Sus scrofa: one gene and its partners. The protein of the gene in region 2 interacts with the protein of the main gene of each other region in a pairwise test. Links are inferred from orthologs where the notes say so. Each region holds a gene or a part of one and is shown on either strand. Other genes may lie near its edges. The genes, in order: FGF12, DACH1, RNF14 and C2H1orf35.

The links.
Region 1: the proteins of DACH1 (region 2) and FGF12 interact in binary tests that used the Homo sapiens proteins (3 or more experiments, as listed by UniProt). The two-hybrid records come from large-scale screens. The link is inferred for Sus scrofa from reciprocal best matches to the Homo sapiens genes DACH1 and FGF12.
Region 3: the proteins of DACH1 (region 2) and RNF14 interact in binary tests that used the Homo sapiens proteins (3 or more experiments, as listed by UniProt). The two-hybrid records come from large-scale screens. The link is inferred for Sus scrofa from reciprocal best matches to the Homo sapiens genes DACH1 and RNF14.
Region 4: the proteins of DACH1 (region 2) and C2H1orf35 interact in binary tests that used the Homo sapiens proteins (3 or more experiments, as listed by UniProt). The two-hybrid records come from large-scale screens. The link is inferred for Sus scrofa from reciprocal best matches to the Homo sapiens genes DACH1 and C1orf35.

The regions. Positions count from the first base shown.
Region 1 is NC_010455.5:129,241,869-129,245,435, forward strand, and holds part of FGF12 (fibroblast growth factor 12), read right to left. Parts: intron 272-3,567; coding exon 153-271; 3' UTR 1-152. UniProt on the Homo sapiens protein: Involved in nervous system development and function. Involved in the positive regulation of voltage-gated sodium channel activity. Promotes neuronal excitability by elevating the voltage dependence of neuronal sodium channel SCN8A fast inactivation.
Region 2 is NC_010453.5:43,799,705-43,803,271, reverse strand, and holds part of DACH1 (dachshund homolog 1), read left to right. Parts: intron 1-3,007; coding exon 3,008-3,151; intron 3,152-3,567. UniProt on the Homo sapiens protein: Transcription factor that is involved in regulation of organogenesis. Seems to be a regulator of SIX1, SIX6 and probably SIX5.
Region 3 is NC_010444.4:143,577,850-143,581,416, reverse strand, and holds part of RNF14 (E3 ubiquitin-protein ligase RNF14), read right to left. Parts: intron 3,483-3,567; 5' UTR 3,302-3,482; intron 1,941-3,301; exon of another isoform or gene 1,661-1,940; intron 1,494-1,660; 5' UTR 1,486-1,493; coding exon 1,332-1,485; intron 256-1,331; coding exon 104-255; intron 1-103. UniProt on the Homo sapiens protein: E3 ubiquitin-protein ligase that plays a key role in the RNF14-RNF25 translation quality control pathway, a pathway that takes place when a ribosome has stalled during translation, and which promotes ubiquitination and degradation of translation factors on stalled ribosomes.
Region 4 is NC_010444.4:51,238,491-51,242,573, forward strand, and holds C2H1orf35 (multiple myeloma tumor-associated protein 2), read right to left. Parts: upstream 2,836-4,083; 5' UTR 2,785-2,835; coding exon 2,691-2,784; intron 2,585-2,690; coding exon 2,434-2,584; intron 2,292-2,433; coding exon 2,246-2,291; intron 2,151-2,245; coding exon 2,071-2,150; intron 1,856-2,070; coding exon 1,783-1,855; intron 1,682-1,782; coding exon of another isoform or gene 1,617-1,681; coding exon 1,531-1,616; intron 938-1,530; coding exon 812-937; intron 727-811; coding exon 669-726; downstream 1-668.

The DNA of each region.
Region 1 (3,567 bases), on a different chromosome or scaffold from region 2:
AAAGGAAAATTTTGAGTGCAGAATCTTAGCCACTAGGTCCTGGGTTGCCATTTTATTTTCCTCTCCTTGGGTGGATTTATTGGAAGGAAATGGGTAAAGGGCAGGGGGAGAAAGGGAAAGGATGAGAGAGGGATGCAGGGAAGAGTTCTCAGCTATGTTGAATCTTGATTCACAACTTTGCCTCCATTCATGGTTGGTGTTCCAGAACTTTTCCTCGAGCGCCCTTGTTTTTCTCCAATTTCATGTAGTGATGGCTCTCTGTACATACACACTGGAAGGCAAAAAGCACATCAATTACTCCTTACAATAGGAGACATCAATTTGGCCTCAATAAACATGTCAAATTTGGATTTACAATAGTGTTCACTCTCACCACTAGCTCTTCTTCCTACTATAAAAGTGAATTTTACTTACGATATTTAGTGGATGCACATAATTCTCTTCCAATTCTATCAGTCAAAACCATTTAAGTCTTCCTGAATTGCAGCCATATATGTGGTTTCTGTTCCCTTATAGATAAGGCTTAAGTCTTTACTGTCTACTAACCTATATAACAGGATTTTCATCTAGAGTTAGAAAAGACATTGGATGTATAACATTTAAATGCTAGAAAGAGATATTTCATTTTTTAGTCTTTAATCTAGTTTGGGTAGGAAAAAAAATGATCATTTACATGATCTTAATCTTTACCCTACTACAAGGAATATGACATTGTATCAAACTGAAATATTTATTGCCAACTTTCAGGGTATCCTACAAAGGAAATGATAACAGGAGAGAGGGCAGAGAAGGAAAAAAGATGTAATTTCCCCAGTTTCTACAGATTTCCTTTACCTAAGGTAATGAACACAATCCATGACTTCTTAGTTATTCATAATAAGAAATGTGATTATGCAACTGTGAGATTTCAGTTCACATCTATATAAACAGTTCCTTTTATCCTCTATTGTTTTGTCTGGCTCAAAAGCTCAGTCATATGTGAATTATCATGGCTCTTGCTAGATTACTGCATGGGAAGAAGAGTGTTTTTCAATTCATAGTTATTCTTGTAAGATAGAATCTATCAGCATACTAAATACATTAAGGCTGATTCATTTTATTGTTGTAGGACAAATGTGACTGTATATGTATATGAAATATTTACTTAAATATGAGGAGGTGCTTTCATCCTTGACTTAGGAACAAACAGTTATAAATCTCTACCTATTGAACCATCACTACAATGCGTTGGTAATCTGAATGCTATTTCCGATCAAATTGCTTTCTTCCTTGGACTTTGCTCTGGTACTGGAGACCCCAGCATGGCCTTGACTGAATAGATGTTGTATGCTGGTTAAGAGCACAAATCTGGGAGCCACACTGCCTGGGTCCACATCCTTATTCAGCCACTTCCTAACTGTCCAACTGGATACACCTTCATAATTGTAAAACAGCATTTTTATGAGGAGTCAGCGCTTGGCATTCAGTAAACATACCAAGATGTATAAGAAAAATGAAGGGGCTGATTTCTTCATAAGAATTTTAAATACCATCGTGGCTCAGAGGAAGCAAATCTGATTAGCGTCCTCTAGGAAGCAGGTTTGATCCCTGGCCTCGCTCAGTGGGTTAAGGATCCAGGGTTGCCATGAGCTATGGTCTAGGCTGCAGATGCAGCTCGGATCTGGCATTGCTGTGGCTATGATGTAGGCCAGAAGCTGCAGCTCCGATTTGACCCCTCGCCTGGGAATCTCCATATGCTGCAGGTGAGGCCCTAAAAAGACCAAAAAAAGAAAAGAATTTAAATAAAAGATTTCAGAGAACATAATGACACATTGCTTTGGCTGAAGTTATATTCTAAATCCAAAACTAGATTAAGAAAGTTAAGGTATATAAGTAGGCTCCTCAGTCAAGTTCAGTGATGAGGAGACAGATCTCTTCCAACATCTCAGTAGTAGAGCTTCTTAAATGTTAGCATGCAGTTGAATTACCTATGATATTGTTAAAATGCAGATTCTGACTCAGAAGGTCTACAGTGGACTTGAGATTCTGCATTTTTTGCGGGGCCATGCCTGCAGTATGTGGAAGTCCCCTGACCAGAGATCAAAGCCATGTCACAGCTGTAACCAGAACCACAGCAGTGACAACATGGCATCCTTAACCCATGGAACCAGGAAGGAACTCCAGAGATTCTGCAGTTTTAATAAGTGCCCAGGTGATGATGATGCTGGCAAAATCAAACCACACTGTGGCTAGTATAAAATATATATACAAAGCTTATTTATTACAAATATCATGTACAGTTATTATAAATGTATTTTTTTAAATGAGATTTTTAAAATATTTCATTTATTGCACTGAATGGGCCCTTCAATATTACCAAAGGACTAACTGCCTTTAGCTTAACTAGTGAAGTGTACAGAATAAACTAGTTTAGAATGAACTGATCCTATAATTTTCAGATGGTGCCAATAGGTAACTGAAGTTTCTGCCTTTCTTTGACAAAAGACGGAAGACCTATATGTAAGATCCTATTGAAATCTTGAAGTTCCTCAAGTCTAATGCCTCTTACCTATATATCTGTTATGGGAAAAGTTTCAAAATTGCCCAAATTAAATAATATGTTTATATGTGCAAAATATAGCCATTTATTTATAACTGCGTAGTGCACAGGGGAACTCAGAAGTAATGAAGCAATTCAGTTGGAAAGCTATTCACATAATACCATAAAGACGTTTTCCCTACTCTCTCACTTAATCATCTGTGAAAACATATACATCCCCAAACCTGACTACAGACTGTTAATTAGTCTCAAAGAATGAAAAAAAAAACTCTAAAAATAAAAACAATATATTTTGACATGGAAAAATTTTTAAACTTCAACGTAGAGGTACTTGAAGGATATAACCTTTTAATTTCCATCAAAGAATATATTTTATAATTTTGGTATCTAAATTTCGTTGTGTTGAAACTTCTTTTTTTAACTTTCCTTATGTTGTAGATTCTACCCAAGACATTTGTTTTTAACTTTTATCTGCTTTTTTTTTTTTTTGCCATTTCTCACTTACACATACAATATTTAAGTTGTGACAACATAAAAAATGTTGCCATTATAGTTATCACTGCAGATAACTTTTCTAATAACTAACTTAACCCTGCTGGCCATCCTAGAATCAAGTCCACAGAGAATTTTTTTAAATGGCATCTAAAAATTTTCAATGTTCCAAAAAGAAGGAAACTCACTAGTGTCAGAGCAAAGTGTGAGACTTGGTCTTCTTCCAGGACAACTCAATCACTAATTTTCCAATTTTTTCCATTACATGGAATAATAAAATTCCAGGTTTGGAAAAAAAACACACACACACAAAAAAAACTAGTTCATATGCCTTAGCTTGAAAATTAAGAGTAATATAGCCACAAAAAAGAACAAAGTAATGCCATGGATGGAACTAGATATTCTTATACTAAGTGAAGTAAGTCAGAAAGAAAAAGACAAATACCATATCATATCACCTATATCTGGAATCTAATATATGGCACAAAAATCTTACCACAGAAAAGAAACTCATGGACTTGGAGAACAAACTTGTG
Region 2 (3,567 bases):
ATAAGAAGGAGCTCTGATAAGATGACAGCCATGAAGAAAATTTTTGTATTCATTCACAATTGCCCTTTGAAAAACTTGAGTTAAAGTCATAAAGCTAAAATAGAAAATACTGATTATTCAAGCGAAGCAGATTTAGTGAGATATTTATCAACTGAAATGGAAGGCTGATGAATATCTGAACAAATGACCAAAGTTGAGTGTTTGTATAATTTTCTTTCTGAATGCCTCATTTTCATCCAACAAGGTCAAGTACACATCAGAGTAGAAACTGATAGGAATTTTTAGTGAGTAAAATAATGATATTATCAATCTACGAATTGCTTCTTTTTACACACTTTACAGTGCATGTATAGAAAAATTTGAAGGTCATTCATATTTTTAATGTTTATTTTATGTATGAGATTGAAGAGTATTTTCTTTACAACCAACTTCCTCTTCGTCTCAACTCAAAGATTCTTCTCAGGATTCTAGAAGGGGGAGCTCTGTTTCTCTCATTGAATAAGTATGAGATATAAACACTCCACATTTTCTCATTTTATATGTTTGACATGGTCATTTAAAAAAAAGTTTCTGTTTTGCTCTCAAAACTGGAAGGAGTTAGGTTTTTCATTACTTACTATGAAGCAAAAGCTAGTGGGTACCTGGGAAGAGGCTGGTTTGGGAAGCTTTCACTCCAGGTATGTAGCACACTTGTAAATTATGTGATTTCGCATAGATTTAGGTACTGGAGTAATCAAAACAAGATGGACAGTGAAAAAGGGAATAATGAGTATGGTCAAAGAGTTCATTCTGTGGTGCTGTTTTCCATGAGATAGCCCTGTCTTGATTTTATTCTCATCTAGAGAAGTCTTTTTTTTCCCACAAGACTTATTATTATTATTATTATTATTATTATTATTATTATTATTATTATTATTTTGTCTTTTTAGGGCTATACCCATGGCATATGGAGGTTCCCAGGAGGCTAGGGGTCAAATGTAGCTGTAGCTACTGGCATACACCACATCTATAGCAACAATAGATCTGAGCTGCCTCTGATACCTACACCACAGCTCATGGCAATGCCGGATCCTTAACACACTGAGTGAGGCTGGGGATTGAACCTGCATCCTCATGGATACTAGTCAGATTCGTTTCCACTGAGCCTTGACGGGAACTCCTTTTTCCATAAAACTTAAAAGCAGACACTTGAATTTCTAACATAACCTTTTGGTTACTCAAGAGATTCTCAGAATTTTGTTGGTTTCCATCTATTGAAGGATTTTTATTCTTTTAGTCACTAGAGGTAGAGGGCAATACATTTTACAGGTCACATCATGAACCTCACATTTTAATTAATTGTTAACAATAAATTATAGGTAATAACAATCAATAATTATCTATTATGAAAGTGTCTGTCGAAGCAGTGTATTACCCCGAAGAGAGAACATGGTGATCCCATTTGGTTCAATCTCATTGAAGGAACCATGAGCAGTCAATGGCAAGGCCCTGGGTATTGAACTTTTAGTGCTGTAGGAGTGAACAATCCAAATAAATAATTCAGAAATCACTGTTTCTTTTCAAAAAGACTGATATGCAACTGTCTTTGGAAAGGGAAATTATAGGCAAGTAATTTTGCTAAGTATATTATTTTCACACTTAAATAAAGAAAATTAGCATTTATTTGAAACCAGGTTTTGTTTATCTACTAAATGTAAATTTTGATTAAAAAAATAGTTTCTGTTACTATCTAATACCAGCAACAGTAAACTCAACAAGTTAATTGTTTGCCATCTTAACAATGTTAATAATTATAAAAACAGGATTTTGGGAAATTAGAAATTGAAACTAAAATTCTTACATGAACCATTATTACCTGATTTTATATTTTAGCTAAATGCTGTGCTACATAAAAATGTTTTTCTTTTATCTGTAGTAAGAAATTTAGCAGTAAATTTGGAATGATTACTTCTTCTGACTAATGTTACCAGGAGGTTTTTCTCACACTGATTCTGTTACATTCACACTTACAATATTTATCAACTATTCAAAAAGAAATTATCTCAAAGAAAATATTTGTATGCTTTCCATATGCTGATTGTTTACTTTATAGTGTAAAAGTTAAAACAGTGATTAATTATTTTATGTATGAGAGTACAATTAACATATATTTCATGAAGGACATTTGTTGTTATTTATTGATACATATTGTATACAAACATTTAAATTCCCAGTAGGAGAAAATTGCATCACAATTAACTTTTTGTATCATAATCTACTTTTTTTATATAAGTAGGAGTGAGGTTTTATACTCCATTAGATTTCTGCAGAGTAAAAGTATAACTTTCTTAATATAGGTTATAGTGCCTATACATTTGCTATGAAGAAATTATTAACATCTCTAAGCAAATCACAATAGCTTTATCCAAAAAATTCTGCTTATATATGTTAACAATAATTAAGAGTATTTAGCTCCTCATATGCATTAAATTTATTTCATTTTCTAAAATTTCAAGAAATAATTATTAAAAAATTTGCTGTTGTCACATTTTTGTAAAGCATTTTGTGAAGCATGTTTGTAAAAGGGGAAACGTATTACCCAAAACTGATGCTTCATAAAGAGATAGGAATCATGCTTGTAAAAGTTTACACTATTCAAAACTGCTTTGCATTAATCTGATTTAAGGGCAGAAACTAAGCCAAGAAATTTAATCAGGCTTTCTTTAATGGTGAATATAAATATTTATTAAAATTAGTTTTTCATTAAATGTGTCTCTATGTATGACAATTAAAGGCATTCTTGTAGTAGTTCAAGGCTAAATAACCATTGGCCTCCTTGAACATTTCACTGAGATTTATTTTAGGCAAAAGTGAGTTTGTCGTTTTGATTTTTTTAGACTTCTGCATATATGTGTGCAGTCCAGCGGGGCAGGGGGGGGAGATTATTGGGAGAAAAATAGATCATTTGTAGAAATTTGAACATTGCAAAAATTTTTAAAAATAATAATGTACAAACACTCTTTTCTAGCCATAGTTCAAAAAAGGCTAAAGAAGGAGAAGAAGGCAAAGAGAAAATTGCAGGAAGCACTTGAATTTGAGACAAAACGGCGTGAGCAAGCTGAACAAACACTAAAACAGGCAGCTTCAACAGATAGTCTCAGGGTCTTAAATGGTAAGAGGGGGCATCTTTATGCATGGTTAAGTAATTTTCATTTTGAATACTCAAAAGACACATTTTTGTGTTTGTGGTTTTGAATATTTCTATAGCTTGTGGTTCATTAAACTCTGCTTGTAGTTGAAAGCCCGGTAGGAAGAATAGTCACATGTGTTGGATGAAATGCTTTATTTCATAGGTGCTTCCACAGTTTTATTTCTGTATCTGAGCCCTGACATTGCTTTTCTATTTAACCAAATCTGTCTGTATCAAAACATAATAAAATATTAATCTGAGAACTTCCCAAACCCCATCCCATTTTCATGAACAATTTTGCATTATTTATCCATTCAAATCTTTTGATAATTCTCATGGTTATCATCTTTGTTCAACCTTTAAAAGATGACAAAGATTGATGTAATTTTAATTCAGCA
Region 3 (3,567 bases), on a different chromosome or scaffold from region 2:
TGTTCTTCATGCACTGAATTCAAGATCACCAAGGTAGCCGTCGCTTAAAGAGGACTTTTTAGGTTTCTAAAAACGGATAGGAGAAATTAGGTTCGGGTCTAACCTGAGTTGGTGACAGCCATTTGCCACTAAGTGTGAATGAAGGTGGGGAGGAGGATGGATAATCTGGTGGCAGCTCAAAGTTCAGCACAAGTGGAGGCAGAAAGCAAATGGTGTGTTCAAAGCCACTATTCTGGAGACACTCATTTGAGTTGCCTGAACCAAAAACAAAGGTTAGAAAGGAGCAGTTGATCAGCACTTGAGTGTCTATGACTGTTGAGCGGCGCTCAGAAACTCTTAACGCTTTAGTTGAGGGAACAAAAACCCTCCCCCAAAGCCCTTTCGGTTTCCTAGTTTTACTTCGTAGCCACCACCTTAAAAAAAAAAAAAAAAAAAAAAAAAACCTTGTAAGCCCTTAAAAAATCTACTACGCATCATGAAATTAAAAATGAAGATACACAGCTTATTCTTGGATACACTTTTGAGCATAACTCCCACCACTAAGGAGCAAGTTATACACAATGTTTCCTGTTGCTGTTGTTTTACAGTAGATGATTAAAGACACAATCTAAAGAAAAGGACGCTTATTCCAATCAAAGAGCCATGACCTACTTAGATCAGCATGTGCCAACTACCCATGAATCATAGGTGGGAGAATCTGTGCCAACACAGTGATGTCAACCTGAGGGCAAGATACAACACACAACGCTCTCGCAGTCCAAGTTTCATCTTAAATGATTACATTTACTCTCTTCACTCAAAGCCTTTACAGTATAAACCGTCTGAGAAAGTTTGCATCCATGTCCTGTGTGAACATTTCTACCCAAAGTACCAATTTTTAATTTTTTTTTCTGAAGCCAAAGACCACAGAGTAGCAGCATATTGTCATATGTGTGTGGTGGCTGAAAAATTGCTGGCAACCAAACATTATTCACCACCACCACAGTACTTTAAATCTTTCCAAGTATTTTCACATCCATTATTTCATTTTCTCTCTTAGTACCCCTATTTAACAGCCAATGACTCATAGCTGATGAAGTGCTAGTGAGCCTATTAGGATGCGAGAAACACGCAGGGTAATATCCCAGTTCAGGGTCATAAAGGCGGAATCAAACTGAAAACTGTTCCCTCCCAGCCCAGTTTTCAATGAAGGCAGCAACAGGCATTAAATCTGCAACCCTACCGTCTACCACTGATGCCTTGAAACACAAGATGATAAATAACTTAGGTACACTAAGAAATTGAGAAGAACCTTTATTTAGAAAAATCCGTTTAAGATAATATGAACTGACCGCTCACAAATATCTTGAAATTTTGGGGCAAGTCCAAATAGATCCTGGTTTCTCCACCTTGGACAGACTCTGCTTTTCGGAATTCATCTCCATCATAAATACTCGCCAGGGCCAGCAACTCATCCTCCTGAGCTTCTCGGTCTTCCGACGACATTTAACTTTCTGAGGAGCGGGAGACAAGCATTCGAGCCGGTTAAGAACAGGAAAGGCGAGGAAGCGTCTGCAAAGGTCTAGGGCACGACCACCGCCCCCCAGCCCGCCCCCGAGAAGGCTCCTCGCCGCCACCGGATGAGGAGCAGCCGATGTTCTCACTCTTCTGTCAAACTAACAATGCCAGGCAGGGCTCATGTTCCAGAAGCTCTGCAACAGCACCAGCCTTTTCCACAAAGGACGGCTGTGGTGCCTCCGACTGCTGACTTTATCAGTTAGGTATGATTCAGGGGAAAAAAGACCATCCGAAAAAAAAATCGTAAAGGACCAATCACACATTACCTTGACTTGTCCACTACACCTAGCCAAGTGCCTTGCTCACCAAAGTAGTCCAAGCATAGGTGATAGGCGTCTTTAAAATAAATCAATGTTTTGGGGAGTTCCCATTGTGGCACAGTGGTTAATGAATCTGACTAGGAACCAGGAGGTTGTGGGTTCGATCCCTGGCCTCGCTCAGTGGGTTAAGGATCCAGCGTTGCTGTGAGCTGGGGTGTAGGTTGCAGATGCGGCTTGGATCCCGCGTTGCTGTGGCTCTGGCGTAGGCTGGCGGCTACAGCTCCGATGAGACCCCTCGCCTGGGAACCTCCCTATGCCACGGGTGCGGCCCTAGAAAAGGCAAAAAGACCAAAAAATAAATAAAAATAAAATGAATCAATTTTTCAAACCCACAGGCATCTCTAGGGCAGGTTCTCTCAACCTCAGTGCCTCTGGCAATGGCAAGGGCAAGGGCAAGGACAAGGGCATTCTCCAGAACAGGGTGTGCGCCGCTGGGGGCGGTTTTCTTCCCTCTCCCAGTGGGAGATTCCTGGCTGCGCCCGGAGATGGTTTTGATTGTCACAACTCTTGTGGGAAAAGGATGCTCTTGGCCTCTAGTAGGCTGTTTTAGGGTTGCTGTTACACACCCTGGAATGCTCAGGACAGCCTCCCACAAGCAAGACCTACTTGTTCCAAACAGGGACAGCCGCCATGTAAGACAGAAAACGAAAGAAGCAGCAAAATAACATTACATTTCTGAAATCACGCCAAATTCTGTCACGTCACTTTTAAGATTTATCATCATTTTAGGTAACATCAACAGTGAAAATATACTACACGTCAAGTGTGAAGCAACGCTTTTTTAATCGCAGCAACGAAAAGATGTGCCACCGTGTCAGGTAATTTAAACGTACGAAAAATATGTAGTGAGACTCTGTGAAAGTTAACAAAACAAACCCCAAATTATCATCGTCAATTAAAACACTCAACGATAATGGCAGGGGCAAATACGCTCCCTCTCGGCTGAAATGTTTTTCTAAACTGAAACGCACAAAGCAAAGTTAGGACATGCTTTTTCACATTATCAAAGATGACACTATAAAATTTAGACGAATTCATTCAAAATGTCCATCTTCAAAAGGTTTATTTTTCCAGCAGATAATGGTTCTGATTAAACCATGTCCTTGTTTAAGACACAGTGACAGGAGTTCCCGTCATGGCTCAGTGGATAACGAATCCGACTAGGAACCATGAGGTTGCGGGTTCGATCCCTGGCCTCGCTCAGTGGATTAAGGATCTGGCATTGCCATGAGCTGTGGTGTAGGTGGCAGATGCCACTTGGATCCTGTGTTGCTGCGGCAGTGGTGTAGGCCATTGGCTACAGCTCTGATTCGATTCCTAGCCTGGGAACCTCCATATGCCATGGGAGCAGCCCAAGAAATGGCAAAAAAAAAAAAAAAAAAAAAAAGACACGGTGACATATTCTGTGTGAGGTCAGTTAGTACCTGTTAATAACAACTAGAAGAAAAGGATATTAGCACTGCAGTCCGTATTTCATTCAGCTCAAGAGTTTGCAACTCATGCAAATTTCATTTGTCCTCCAGATGATGGAGCTGAGACTGCTGGAGCTGGATAAAAGGCCGAGATGTGGAATTCATACTAGAAACACCAGAGAAAGCCTGCCATCTGCAGAAAAAAAATTACAAAAGATGGTGTTAGGACCCTCTCCAAGTTTAAATTCGGAATTTAAACACACGGTCAATCCTCATCT
Region 4 (4,083 bases), on a different chromosome or scaffold from region 2:
CCCCTCCTAGCATGCTCACCCCTCTGCAGCTGAGCCCCTTTGACCCGTGTGGCCTCCTTCTGGCCACACATGACCCAGGGCTCTTGGTCAATATGAGACTCCGAGATGCTGACCACCAAAAGGACAGTGCCCTTCCCAGTGGGATCACAGGTAGCCTTGCTAGAACCCAAGAGATCACATCTTCACACATCACTTTTTTTTTTTTTTTTTTGTCTTTTTTTTTTTTTGCTATCTCTTTGGGCCGCTCCTGCAGCATATGGAGGTTCCCAGGCTAGGGGTCGAATCCGGAGTTGTAGCCACTGGCCTAAGCCAGAGCCACAGCAACGCGGGATCCAAACCGCATCTGCAACCTACACCACAGCTCACGGCAACGCCAGATCGTTAACCCACTGAGCAAGGGCAGGGACCGAACCCGCAACCTCATGGTTCCTAGTTGGATTTGTTAACCACTGCGCCACGACGGGAACTCCCACACATCACTTTCTATTATGACATATGATAGCAACCTTCCCTTTAGTATGAAACACTTTCCACTTAAAATAAGTTTATTTACGTACAAAGAGTGAGTCAATACAAAGAAAAATAAAAGCAGCCGTAGTAGGCCACAGTTAAGCCTCTTTCGAGGCCTGGGGTGATCCCCATAGGCTAGCCCTTCAGATCTCTGGATCTCAGTTGCTGTCCTGCCGGCGCTTCCTCTTGCAACAAGGCGAGGAGTTGGGATCATGCCTAGGGAGACCGGGGGACACCTGGCTTGAGGGCCCCTGCCTGCCCAGTACTCCCCGCCTCTTTACCCCCAGGCAGCTGCACCTACTGGATGGAAGAAGGGGACAGTGAGGAATGTGACCCCCTCCCATGCTCCTTTTCTTTCTTTCTCTTCTCTTTCTTGTGTTTTTTCTTCTTTTTCTTCTCTTTCTTGCTCTTCCTGTGGCTCTCAGGGCTGCAAGGGGACACAAAGTGCCAGTGCCTCTGGGGCTTTGGAATCTAGCCAGGGATGGGGCTGCTGCAGTAGCCACTAACCATGTGTAGCCATTTCAACCTGAAGTCACTAAGGGCAACTCCTCAGTACCACCTGTAGCCAGCAACTACCACGGTCGGGGGCACAGACCCTTACTTGCATTCCAATCGTGGCAGAAAATCTGACGATCTCATGGCCCCTTTCCAACCCTCCCACTGCGATTTTCCCCACTCCCACTCCACCCTGCACTCTTGGGGCCAAATTGTGATCCCCTCCTGTGCCACTCACACCCCTCGCTGGGCAGCTAAAGCAACGGGAAGGGGAAGTGGTTCACCACCCCACCCGCCCCAGACCCCGGAAAGTGACTCATGTCTGAACATTCTCTTGGGCCCCTGATCCCACTGAGGAGTCAGGGGGCAAGTGGAACCGCCCCAGGGCTCACAACCTCCAGCGGCTCCCCCCCAAAAAAAGGCTGGAGCTAGGAATTTTACTGTCTGGTGGAGCAAACAACATGCAGAGCGAACCGAGTTCTGTGTCCTAGTAGCACGGGTAGGGTCCACTTATCCAGCCCTTACCCTGGCTCCACCTTCTCCTCTGACCGAGGCTTCCTCTTGGCCGAAGCCAGGGAGACCCCTGGCCGACTGCTCTCCACGCGGTGGTGCTGCCAAGAAAAGCCACTCTGGGGGTGTGCGGGCCTGAGAACCATCCAGAAAGCCAGTAGGGTCCCTTCGAGGGGAGACGATTTGCCCCACGGCTTTCAACAGGAAGGGACACTCATCCCCACCCCCACCCCAACATGGGATAACCAGGATGTCGGGAGGAATTACCGTGAACACCGAAAGCCCCAGTTTAGCGGCCTCTTTGTCTTCCCGTGACAGCGCCACTCGCCCTGCAGAGCCACTGCGGGGACGCGGGTGGGGACCCCCCCCCACAGTGAGACACCCTCTCCCGACAGCGAGGACCACCCCATCCCCACCCGTAGGCCTCCCTAGAGAAGTGATGAGTTCAGACGACCCATAACGGCTTCCACCTGGGCGGCTGACAGCGCCGAACCCCGGGGAATTGCACCCTCGCGATTTCTGGGGTCCCCGAGGACCACCTCCCCAGCCCCGCACCTGGAGCTGCCCAGGCCCAGGAGCCGGTCCACTCCCTTCTCGGGGTCACTTCCTTCCCGCTTACAGACTTCGACAAAGTCCTGTGGGTGGGGGGGAGTGCAAGCGCTCACCACAGCGTGGGGTCTGCCCCCCCGCCCCATCCCGCCCCCGTCCTCCAAGAGGGCCCACCTCTCACCTCCTTGCTCAGGCCCGTGGGCTGCTTCCTTACGTTCTTGTAGCCTCTGCGGGGGCCGCGCGTGAGCTTCAGAGAGTGGCGGGCCTCTCCTCGGCCCGCGCCCCCGCCCCCGCCCAGCCCCGGTCTCCGCCCTACCCCCAACCAGGAGGTAATTCCCCCCCGCCCCCAAGCTCCCGAGGCTCACTCACAACGCTGCCATAAGCGCTTCCTGCTCCGCCTGCCTCACGGCCTCCAGCTCCTGTTCCCGGCTCAACCCCGCGCCGTGCGCCCGGCCCTTGGCGTACCAGGTGAGGTCACGGCCCTTCTGCCAGCGGCCCACCGGGGCCATCAGCGAGTTGCCTGCGGGATACCGAGCGCCGAGTCCTCGGTACGGCGCTGCAGGTTGGCGTACCTCCAGCCCGAGAGACACCCCCGCCGCCACCCTGGGTCCCGGCACCCCGCTCACCCAGGTAGTTCTCCCTCTGTTTGTCAGTCTTCACATCCTCCCAGCTAAACTGATCCTGCCCACCGCGCACTCCACCCCGGCTGGAGCCGAACATGGTGCCGGCTTCCCGCTACCCAGGCCCCACCGGCCCCCGTTTCCACCCCGCGTCGCACGCAGTGACGTCATGCGCGCTTGCACCGCCCCCGCCTGCCTCTAACGCCTGCGCACTGCTGTGGCCCTGGCCAAAGTCGGAGGCTGCGGCAGATACCGCCGCATTATTGGAAGCCACTGTCGTGGGTCACAGGTAATGAAAGGGACTAGTATCCATGAGGCCATGGGTTTGATCCTTGGACCGGATCTGTGGGTTAAGGATCCGGTGTGGCCATGAGCTGCTCGCAGAACCGGCTCGGATCTGGTGTGGGTGAGGCTGTGGCTGTGGCATAGACCCGGCAGCTGCAGCTCCTGCTAGACGCCTAGCCTGGGAACTTCCGTATGCTGTGGGTCCGGCCCTAAAAAATAAATTCGAGTCACGTTGTGTGGGTGACACCCCCGAGTCATCGTTGCTAGTGTGTGCTGTTTCTGGCCCTGTGCTGGGGAGAGGGGTAGGCACTGGGGGAGACTATGTCTGAAACTGTTTCCCTACTATAGCTTCCCTACCTTATAAACCGGGAGCCACCAAGGTCAGGTTGCACCTGCACTGGCCTGTTCTCCACCCTTGGGGATACCAGCTGTGTGGCTCCCAAAAAAGTATGGAAGCACACCTCATTGCACTCATACCTCAAAGAGCACAGAAAATGCCTCAGTCACCCTCAAGGTGTTCACTGGCAGACGATCCTCATTCAACAGTTTTGGTCTTTGCTGCTCAGTATCTATAGTAAGCTAGTTGTTGGGCAAGGGTGTTCGGTTTGTCATCACTGCAGACCAGAATAGATTCAGTCATAAGAGGTCCTAATGAGCAGAGAGGAGTGCCACTCCATTGGCCAACTCCTACTGAACTGAAACCATAAGATGAATGTACTGAGGAATTTACACGGTGCCACACATGTTATCTGTATCCCTTCAGTACTGGTCCTCTCACAAGACATGGCCCTCCTGCAGGTTGCTCAGTGAGTTCATCTGATAATGGGGGGGGGGGGTGAGGTCTTTCACCTTGCTCTCCCTCACCTGCCTCACTGCTTAAGGGCGTTCTTGAGCAAAGATGAGGAGGTCAGCAGGGCCTGGAAGTGCATAGCCACACATTGCTGGGATGGATTGGGGTGGGAGGATGTCCCTGTGCAGCCGCACAGAATGGTGAGTGGACCAGAAGGGGTCAGGAGTGGGGGAGGTTCATCTCCCACAGGCTGTTGGCTCCTACCTACTGGGTCAGGCCCAGAACACCTTCCCCACCATATACTATGACTGAACTTCAGGTATA